2 linked regions of the Arabidopsis thaliana genome follow. The protein of the gene in region 1 interacts with the protein of each later gene in a pairwise test. Each region holds a gene or a part of one and is shown in the gene's direction. Other genes may lie near its edges.

What was found.
Region 2: the proteins of NAP7 (region 1) and CPK13 interact in a protein complementation assay, tested with the Arabidopsis thaliana proteins (one large-scale study listed by BioGRID).

Annotation. Positions count from the first base shown.
Region 1 is NC_003074.8:3,334,205-3,339,125, reverse strand, and holds NAP7 (non-intrinsic ABC protein 7), read left to right. Parts: upstream 1-1,679; 5' UTR 1,680-1,821; coding exon 1,822-2,181; intron 2,182-2,373; coding exon 2,374-2,424; intron 2,425-2,529; coding exon 2,530-2,751; intron 2,752-2,879; coding exon 2,880-3,002; intron 3,003-3,449; coding exon 3,450-3,626; intron 3,627-3,717; coding exon 3,718-3,801; 3' UTR 3,802-4,122; downstream 4,123-4,921. Other genes in the region: AT3G10680 (HSP20-like chaperones superfamily protein), read right to left, coding at 1-1,114, 1,215-1,353; CPK2 (calmodulin-domain protein kinase cdpk), read left to right, coding at 4,858-4,921. UniProt on the Arabidopsis thaliana protein: Essential protein. Required during embryo development, especially at early stages. Involved in chloroplast differentiation.
Region 2 is NC_003074.8:19,230,775-19,236,681, forward strand, and holds CPK13 (calcium-dependent protein kinase 13), read left to right. Parts: upstream 1-1,583; 5' UTR 1,584-1,892; coding exon 1,893-2,517; intron 2,518-2,726; coding exon 2,727-2,870; intron 2,871-3,024; coding exon 3,025-3,177; intron 3,178-3,322; coding exon 3,323-3,438; intron 3,439-3,528; coding exon 3,529-3,696; coding exon of another isoform or gene 3,697-3,741; exon of another isoform or gene 3,742-3,757; intron 3,758-3,891; coding exon 3,892-4,122; coding exon of another isoform or gene 4,123-4,206; exon of another isoform or gene 4,207-4,334; intron 4,335-4,602; coding exon 4,603-4,752; 3' UTR 4,753-5,117; downstream 5,118-5,907. UniProt on the Arabidopsis thaliana protein: May play a role in signal transduction pathways that involve calcium as a second messenger.

The DNA of each region.
Region 1 (4,921 bases):
TCCTTTAGATCGCCTCTATCTTTGGCTAAACCAGCTTCGTCTATCTTCTTCTGCTCCACTCTGTCTTGAATCTCTCCTTCACTAACCATGTCTCCAACCATCTCATTATTCTCATCCTGCTTGTTTCTCACGCCATCATCAACATCCAGTTTGATTCTTTCATCTCCCTCTTTCGTTTTTAGCTTAGGCTCTGCTTGGTTTCTCTGAGCAACATTCTTCTCTATTCTTCTTGCCTCATCACCAACAACTGGTTTTGTAAATTTATCTTCTTTCTTTGGTCCCAAGTTAATCCTTCCTCCCTCCAGCTTCTGACCTATTTCACCATCTTCCTTTTTCTCAACAACTTTGGCATGTTCCTTGGATTCCACTCTAGCATCTATGGTCGGCGTTCTGCTAATCTCTTTTTCCTTCACCTTCTGTCCAGTCTTAAGCTGACTTATATCATCATCTTTCTTTCTCTCAATTACTTTCTCTTCTTTTGCCTGTACCTTAGGTTTTAAGCTACCACCAAGGGTTGGTGTACTTTTAGCCTCTTCCTCCTTCAATTTATCTCCTATCTTTTGCTGAACTATGTGAGCAGCCTCCTTTCTCTCAACCACCTTCTCTTCTTTCGCACGTTCTCTTCCCCCTAAGCTAGGGATTGCCTCTCGCGCTTTAACTTTCGCTTCAGACTTCTCTTGACTGCCCGTTGGCACTGCTCTTTTACCCTCAACCACTGATTTATACGTTTTGGGTGCTTCTTCATTCAACGTTGGAGTGGTTTTCTCTTGACTTGTTCCCACTTGTTTCTCCTCCTCCAAAGCTTTCTTTCGTCCCAAGGTACTCCCATTAGGACCAGGCCCTCCACTTTTCTCCTGATTAGACCTCTGTCCAATCTTCTCCTGATCTTGGACTGCTTTCTCCTGTTTGTTAGCTTCCACGATTGCTGGAAACTCGATGGTCAAGAGTCCATGTGAGAAGGAGGTGCTCAATTTGGTCATGTCACAGGTATCAGGGACACGGTAAGCTTCACTGAAACGAGCCTTAGTCTGAGCAGAGAGCGGTCGCTGGCCTTGAATCTGGACAGTCCTTGTCCTCTCATCCTTTTTTATTTCTATTTGATCCCTATAAAACCCTGCCGGTTCCACACAATAAACGAGAAATTCATAAAGTTTGTTATCAATTAAAGTTTGATCTCAAGAAACAAAAAGAAAGAAAGAGAGAAGAAAAAAGACCAGGAAGATTAACGTAGAGGAAAATGGAAGATCCGGAGTTAGTCCATTGAGCTCTCGGCTTGAAACTACTCACTGTCGGAGCCAGCGGTGGCGGATGACGGCCACCTCCCGGCCTTGGTCTCTTGAAAATCGCCGCCATATATGTTTATATATAGATCACACTATATCAGGACAAAAAGTTCAAAGCCTTTACGAAATAAATGAATCAAACTGTATATGAAAACATAAAAAATGTTTGAATGATGTATATAAGATAGAAAGAGAGGTAAGAAGAGATTTTGAGATTACGGTATGGGTTTAGGATTGCTTTAGGGTATGGACTTTGTCTGTTTCTTCATCCCAAGGTCTCATATGTGTAAATAGTTTCTTGTACTTCAAGGAAAGAAGCTTTTAAGGTTTTGAAGAATATGCGTATCAACACAAAGTGATGTCGTTTTATTTGTTATTTCCATTTTTTTTTTGTTTCCATTTTAATTAAGCTAGTAGCCGATATATATATTACGTGGCATTCAACATGTGAAATTAAAAGAATCCCTGGACCTAACTAACCACATCACTTCACCGGATAAAACCTCCACCGTCTTCTTCCGCCGCAATTTCTGTCTCCATGGCCGGCGTTAACCTACAGCTCCGTCACGCATACTCCATAGCTCAATTCGTTCCAACTGTTTCTTCTCCTCCTCCTCTTCCTACTCAGCGAGTTCGCCTCGGGACTTCACCCTCTCGTGTTCTATTATGCAATCTCCGAGCTAATTCCGCCGCCGCTCCAATCCTGCGAACTACTCGCCGTTCAGTTATTGTTTCGGCGTCTTCCGTATCCTCAGCCGTCGATTCGGATTCGTTGGTGGAAGATCGTGATGACGTGGGGAGGATCCCGTTGCTTGAAGTTAGGGATTTGAGAGCAGTGATTGCTGAATCGAGACAAGAGATACTGAAAGGCGTCAATTTGGTTGTCTACGAAGGAGAGGTGCGTATTAATCAATGCAATTTTATGGTTAAGACTTGAAATTTAATTTGCAGAAAGCTTTGCCTGGTAGTGCTGTCTCATTATATGATAAAGTTTTGAGTTTGATATCATAACTTGTGAATTCTATTTGTGTGGATTTGTTTTGCATTGCTGCCGATTGTAATCCATGGCTTCTTTTGTGGTTGCTAATAGGTTCACGCAGTGATGGGGAAGAACGGTTCAGGAAAGAGCACGTTTTCGAAGGTGAACATTTTATTTGTATATCTTGTATCTCAGGATTAACATTGATGCTGCAGAGTATTGTTCTCTTTCTGTTTGTTATCTTAGTGAGAGTCTTATTATTTGTAGGTTCTTGTTGGTCATCCCGATTATGAAGTGACGGGAGGGAGTATTGTGTTTAAAGGGCAGAATCTACTTGATATGGAACCAGAGGATAGATCTCTTGCCGGTCTCTTTATGAGTTTCCAGTCCCCAGTTGAGATCCCTGGTGTTAGCAATATGGATTTCTTGAATATGGCATTCAATGCTCGGAAAAGAAAGCTTGGTCAGCCAGAGCTTGATCCAATCCAGGTGCCTTATCGAATTAAATGACTTGGATTTGGTTTGCACTGTTTCTTACTTGTTGTTGTTTGCTAAATGGTCCCAATTGTAGAACTGTCTATGTATTATGTCTTACTGATATCACATGGCTCATGCAGTTCTACAGCCACTTGGTATCAAAACTCGAAGTTGTGAATATGAAGACCGATTTTCTCAACAGAAATGTCAATGAAGGATTTAGTGGTGGTGAAAGGAAACGCAATGAGATTCTACAGTTAGCGGTAATGGTTCTGCTTCCCTTGTTTCTCAGTATCCATAAGGACTGCATATGATAAGAAACAAATGTGATTAGAGAAGGTAGTGGATTACTAAGCTTGTTCCATGCTACAGTGTGCAAAACCACAAGGCTAATAGTTAGGAATTTCAGGATATCTGGGTAGATTAGCTTAAGCAGTTACAGGTTTTACCATAAGTAGACGCGGTTATTGCATGGCAGTTAGTATTCTATTACAAGTATTTGACTGCAGTTTTAGCTAAAAAGACATGGCATGTTATATGTCTTCATATCTCTTTATATTTTCCTGATCTTGAAATATCTGCCTCCCAAGGAGTGGTCATTTCTGGTTTATCGATAACATGAGAACACTATTAGTCTCCTATTCTTTGTAAGCAATATATGGAAAGAGGTCATGGAAGTACGCTAATGCAACGTTTTCCTGTCCTTGCAGGTCCTTGGAGCTGAGTTGGCTATACTGGACGAGATTGATTCAGGGTTGGATGTTGATGCTCTTCAAGATGTGGCAAAGGCGGTGAACGGGCTTTTGACACCAAAAAACTCTGTTCTGATGATAACGCACTACCAACGCCTACTTGACTACATCAAACCAACTCTCATACATATCATGGTGAGCATTGTTGCCAAACCAGCCTTCTTTACTGGCTACACAATGATCATATATATTTTGGTAAGCTCATGTATGTTTCCTTGGGTTTCAGGAGAATGGGAGAATCATTAAAACCGGAGACAACTCCTTGGCCAAACTACTGGAAAAGGAAGGCTACAAAGCGATATCCGGTTAGTTATCGCGGATCATACATATAACCTGTCTTCCTTCTTTGAGAGACCATGGTTATTATATGGGACAAATACAATGGAAGCTAAAGCTGATGATTGGAAACTGAAATCTATCACTACAATCTTTGACCCGTAGTTTTGGTTTGCAATTTGCATGACAAACTACTTTATTGGGATGTGAACAGTATTCCACACCTTTTTGTAACTAACAAGTTTAAAATTCAGTTAATAAATTTTGTTATTATAAATGCTCTTATAAAGTTTGAGACTTTAAGTGGATCAAATCCAATCAAACCTAGTGGTTACTTACATTACTTGAGAAATTTGACAAAATAAAATTTAATTTGATTATTCTATCGCCTGCTGCTGCTGGAACGAGTTGGTAATAGAAAACAAATTCATAATTTATGACAAGAAGAACGCAAAATTCGCTGATGATTATTAAACCCAAACGCGTTTTTCAAACTCGTTCAATCAATTTCCTTCATCATCTTCATCTTCTTCGTAATTGACTTATCGAACAAGATTACACCTCCCTTTAGCTTTTTATGCAAATGTAGTGCTTTTAAGCATTCTCTCGATTTCCCTCCCTTATTTTCCGACAAATACCAAACCAATATTGTTCCTTTTCTTTTCAATCCCAGATCGATCTCTTTGTTTTCAGACAATTTCTGTTGTCTGGATTCGGTTCATTGCATCGTTCTTTGTGTTGGGTTCGTTTAAACTTTCGATTTTCCCATTTTGAAAATTTTGATTTTTTTCTTGTGGCAGATTGATTGTTGTTGTGCAAGATTCATCCGTTGCATCGACCCGAGTAGGGTTTTTGCTTGTTCCATCGGTGTTCGGAGTTTTTAAAATCATTGCCTGATCCGGAGTGATCAAATCCTATATATTGTCGTTGCACAAGAGAACCAAGTCTTAGATTATAAAGAGATTTGACTTTCACTTTTAGTGTCTATGATCATTAGGAATGAGATCAGATCAGGTCAATTTGTGTTCTTTTGATCAGATCTTGATGTGGAAAGCTTGATGCTGTTGATTATAAGTAGAGAGATATTTTGATGGGTAATGCTTGCGTTGGACCAAACATTTCTGGAAATGGTTTCTTGCAAACTGTTACGGCTG
Region 2 (5,907 bases), about 16 Mb from region 1:
GGTTAAATGTGAACGCGTCTTTGGAATAGTATATAATAATAATTTAGACGCGCGTTTGTTAACTTTCAAACATTTTTGTGAACCACGCTCCACCAAATAAGACATGTGGTGGACGTTGCAACTAGATTTACGCATCTTGATGGGTTTCCAAAAATGGTAAGTAGAAATTGGTTTTCTCTCAAAAGCACCATTATTTAGGGTTTGGGAATGAAAAAAGTTTGTATCTTTATCGTTATGATTTTACTCATGCTAAACCAAAGGTTTCTTCATCGCGTTTTGGACTTCGTCTTATCTACCGCCCTATGTGTTACATGATACGACATATATGATACCCAGAAAAAAATTCATGTGTGCGGGACAAAAAGCCTCAGATGACTTTTGATTTTGAAAAACTATGATCATTTTTAAAAAAGTTGTAGAAATTAAATCATTTTGAACTATTCGATGCAACCAACCTATCTAAAAATGAAGTAAATTCCGCAATTTTAGATAGATGGACATCCTCAGATCACATCCATTTAAACTACCATAATACACGTAGATGGCTCTAGACCTCTAGTAGAAGATATGATACTACTATCTTTGATATGTCGACATTGGAAGATACATTTTACACCGTAGAGCTTTGTGGATATTTCGAAAGTAATTAGTGTATAATTCAAATCAATTAAATTTAGATATATAAATGTACCATTCTAATGCAAATCCTTTATAACAAAAAAAAAAAGGACTTTCCCAAAGGCCAAACAAATGATTGTTGACATTGACCACACGATCGTTTAGAAACATCACAAATTTTCAATCTCCTCCTAGTCTCCTAGGCTCATACCACTTACGTTCGCATGTTACATACCTTTTTTGAAATGGCCAGCTCATTTTTGATCAAATGAATACTGGATTTACAATGGGAAAAAATTCTGCATCTATGTTCTTAGATTTACAAAATAAACTAGAAATGTTCGTTTTAGTATTTTCTTTCTATGAAATAACTTGTTGTTTTATGAATTATGAGTCTAAAAATGGCATATTAGAACCAAAAAAGATTAGCACATGACATTTCAAAATCTTAAATGGTAACATTTTCAAGATTTTTATTCTATCATTAGTTGTTTCTATCATGACATTTCAAAATCTTAAATGGCATATTAGAACCAAAAAATTATTTGTTTTATTTTGTACGTACAATTACCATATTTTTATTCATTGTCATAGTTGTTCAGGTGGATCTTAGATATTTCAAAGTATAAAATTTGTGATCGTATTTTAGATGATTACACACATATCACATATGTAATGCACATAATATTTCCAAATTAAAGGTAAAATATTATTTTTACCGGAGTATGTATATATTCAATCCAGATTATTTTTAAAAAATTAGATTTTTTTTGAATGATCAGTCTTATCAAGAATTCAAAAGATAGTGTTGTTGTCAATCAAAATTACTAAAAGAAAATTGTTTAGTCAACATATATACGTACCTTAATAAATATTTTTCTTAGAATCTAAAGGAATTTACAGATGTTAAAATAAAATCCAATAAAGTGTAAATTTACCAAACAAGTAAAGACCATTTTTCAAAAAGAAAAAGAAACCAAGGAGACCAAATTATGATTGAGTTTTACAAAATACAGAAAATAAAGAAATTAAATAAATATCAAAAACTCAAAAGAGACCTCTCTTCTCTCTCTCTCTCTCTCTCTCGCTACTCTCATCTTCACCGTACGCTTCTTCGATCTACGCTTCTCTCTAGCTATAGCTTCCATTGTCACGATTCCTCCCAAAGCGTAGAATGTGGAACCCTAGATACCTCAAATTCAGCTAGAGATCTATCTACTTTCACCTCTATTACTTTCTACTTCTGAAACCCCTCATCAGAGCTACACACAGTGATGGGAAACTGTTGCAGATCTCCCGCAGCAGTTGCTAGAGAAGACGTGAAATCCAACTATTCCGGCCACGATCACGCCCGCAAAGACGCCGCCGGCGGTAAAAAATCGGCGCCGATTCGAGTTCTAAGCGATGTTCCCAAGGAAAACATCGAGGACCGTTACTTACTCGACAGAGAACTCGGCCGCGGCGAGTTTGGTGTCACTTACCTCTGTATCGAGAGGTCCTCGCGTGACCTACTCGCTTGCAAATCGATCTCCAAGAGGAAGCTTAGAACTGCTGTGGATATTGAAGATGTTAAAAGAGAAGTAGCGATTATGAAGCATTTGCCTAAGAGTTCGAGTATTGTTACTTTGAAAGAAGCTTGTGAGGATGATAATGCTGTGCATTTGGTTATGGAGCTTTGTGAAGGTGGCGAGCTTTTCGATCGGATTGTTGCGAGAGGTCATTATACGGAGCGTGCTGCTGCTGGTGTTACTAAGACTATTGTTGAGGTTGTGCAGCTTTGTCATAAGCATGGTGTGATTCATAGAGATTTGAAGCCCGAGAACTTTTTGTTTGCTAATAAGAAGGAGAACTCGCCTTTGAAAGCTATTGATTTTGGATTGTCGATTTTCTTCAAGCCAGGTCTGTTACTGCTTTTGATTTTAAAGTAGATTTCAATTCTCTAGCTTTTATTGTTGATTATTAGTGTTGTTGTAGTGGAATACTGGGTCATAGAGGGAGCTTCTAGTTTATTGTAGGATTTATGTTTCTTGATTGATACATACCTTTGATGTATTTTGACCAGTTTATTTGGTGTTGATGCTGTTTTTGTAATGCTTACATATGACCAGGTGAGAAATTCTCTGAGATTGTTGGGAGTCCATATTACATGGCACCTGAGGTGCTTAAGCGGAATTATGGACCCGAAATAGATATTTGGAGTGCTGGAGTGATTCTTTATATTCTCTTGTGTGGAGTTCCTCCGTTCTGGGCAGGTCTGTTAACCCCTTCCTCTCTTCTCTAGTCTTTCGATTTCCTCTGCCGGAGCATTTGCTAGTTTTTCGATTCCTCTGCCGGATTCTTATAATACCTTAGCATGCTAGTCTTTTGTAAATTGTAGTTTCAGCCAGTTTTTTCTTTGAACCACAGAGTCAGAACAGGGAGTTGCTCAGGCTATTCTGCGTGGAGTAATTGATTTTAAGAGGGAACCGTGGCCAAACATTTCTGAGACCGCTAAGAATCTAGTCAGACAAATGTTAGAGCCTGATCCAAAGCGTCGGCTGACTGCAAAGCAAGTGCTTGGTACATAGAAGCTACCTTTGCCTTATGCTCTTTCTCTCTGCATCTGTTATTATCTCTTTTCCCAATTACTTCACTGATCTGGAGATACTCCAAAAGATTTTTTTTATGCTTATTCCTGCTTTTGTTATTGTTTCTCATTTGCTAGAGCACCCATGGATTCAGAACGCAAAGAAAGCTCCCAATGTTCCTCTTGGAGATGTTGTGAAGTCGAGGTTGAAGCAATTTTCAGTGATGAACCGATTCAAGAGAAAAGCTTTAAGGGTTTGTTTATCTGATAAACTCTCATTCTTAATTACTTGCATGAGTCACTTCTTAAACGGAAGATATCTTTACTAATCTTATTCAAACCAGGTTATTGCCGAATTTTTATCTACGGAAGAAGTAGAAGACATCAAAGTAATGTTCAACAAGATGGATACTGATAATGATGGTATAGTTTCCATTGAGGAGTTGAAAGCCGGACTTCGTGATTTTAGTACACAGCTAGCGGAATCAGAAGTTCAGATGCTTATTGAAGCGGTGCACATATCTTTCCCTTCTACATCACCGTACATTTATTACTGATTGCTTGACTGAAGAAGTAGAGTCAAACTTCTTTTTGCATGATCTTATCATTCACTTCCCGCTTAATTTTTCAGTGATCTTTTTTTGTTCACGTTCACTATCCAGGTTCACTAAAATATTGTCTTGATAATTCAAATTTGTATAAAACAGGTGGATACTAAAGGAAAAGGAACTCTAGACTATGGAGAATTTGTAGCAGTGTCTCTCCACCTGCAAAAGGTAGCAAACGATGAGCATCTCCGCAAAGCCTTCTCTTACTTTGACAAGGATGGAAATGGGTACATTTTGCCCCAGGAGCTTTGTGACGCCTTAAAGGAAGATGGAGGAGATGACTGTGTGGATGTCGCCAATGATATATTCCAAGAAGTTGACACAGACAAGGTAAGTGTCAAATCTTCTGTCTATGGTATGATCTCATCATGTTCAAAAGAAACTCAAAAGAGCTTTCTTTTGCAAGAGTGTTAGGAAACCAAAGTTGTGAGGAAGTCCTAAAAAGGCACAAAGGACAGGAGATGTGACTTTAAATCTTTTTTCTTTTTGCGCTATTTGTTTGATGATAACCAAACCATTTGAATTTACAGTTTTACACATAGGTAATGGAAACATGCTTTGCAAAAAGTTCTTAAAAGCCTGAGGACAAAACATGTAGCTTTAAACACTTTTTTTCAGTTTTATTCTTTTGGCATTTGTCTGTTGTGTAAGCGGTCCCCATAAACTAAAGGCAAAAATGATTTCTCTGTTGTAGTGGAAATACTATCTGTAGAGAGTTCACTTCTCATATCGTTAAACAGAACCTTAGAGACTATAGTTAGTGTAAAAATGTTTCTTCTGGTTGTGCCTGACATGGATTTTTGACATTAGGATGGGAGAATAAGCTACGAAGAGTTTGCGGCAATGATGAAAACAGGAACGGATTGGAGAAAGGCGTCTCGTCATTACTCAAGAGGGAGATTCAATAGCCTAAGCATCAAGCTAATGAAGGACGGGTCTTTGAACCTAGGCAACGAATAGCGAATCAAAGTGAAGAAGCCGCAATAGGGTCTTTAGTGTCTGTCTCTCACGCCACGTTCTCGTGCACGTCAAGTATTAAACCAAGAGAAGGTAAAACTTGGGATTCAGAATTCATATCTTTTTGTACATCTTTCGTTTTTTAACCTTTCTATTTTTGGTGATTATGTTATCTGTGTTCTTTTTTTTATTGGTTTATGGGTTGAGTTGTGTTTGTTTAGTTTGTTCTGGTAGAAATCCAAAAGACATGAGAATCAGTGTTTGATGTGTAGAAGGAAAAAAAACCAAAGACCATTTCTGGTAATGATGTTGTAATATTCTTTTGTCTTCCTTAACCTCTATAATGATATGATGAGTCATTCACACAACCCTATCCTCTATTTTGCGCAAAGTTCTAAGCGATGATGACTTTGTATCAATCGGTAATATAATGACGCTTGTTTCAAATCAAACACGAAAGCTACCTAGTACCTACTTTTTCCCATCTCAGCTCTGAGTATCAACATCAGTGATTACACTAGCAATCCCTGCATTATTGACCTGCAAACCAAATCAAATAATCACTCAACGTTATACAAGAATCTTAACCAACTCTTATGAGCCTTTCTTTATTGGAGATCAATCACTTATCTGATAGGAACAAATTAACCACAAAAGGGACTTGCTTTCTTGTCAAAAGGTTACCAGTAACATCCTAGCTAGTGCCAATCGTTTTCAACAAGATTTGAGATTTTAGATGCTAAATCCAAAACCTATTTCATACTAAGTAAACTGATAGAGGATTGTACTAATCATACCAAGATATCCAAGTTTTCCAATTTTAGTATTCACAAATCTGTATGTAAAGAGTTGTGACACATGGAGCCGATGAATTATGAAATATAATATTCTGATTATAAAGGCCTTTGTCTACAACTTCAAGTCCCTTTTTATCAGCTCTAGAGGTCAAAACTACGCTAATCATTTTGCTACCTAATTGTCTGCCAATATTTAGCCCAATCCCTCTGTGTGCAGCAGAAACTATATCACTAGGTTATTGCCTTATTGGATTGGATATTTGCATTGCATTTTAGAATCCAATTACAATGTTGTGTTATTCAATCAATAATTTACATATTTAAATTGACAATGCTGTATTTCACAATTATTAGTTATATT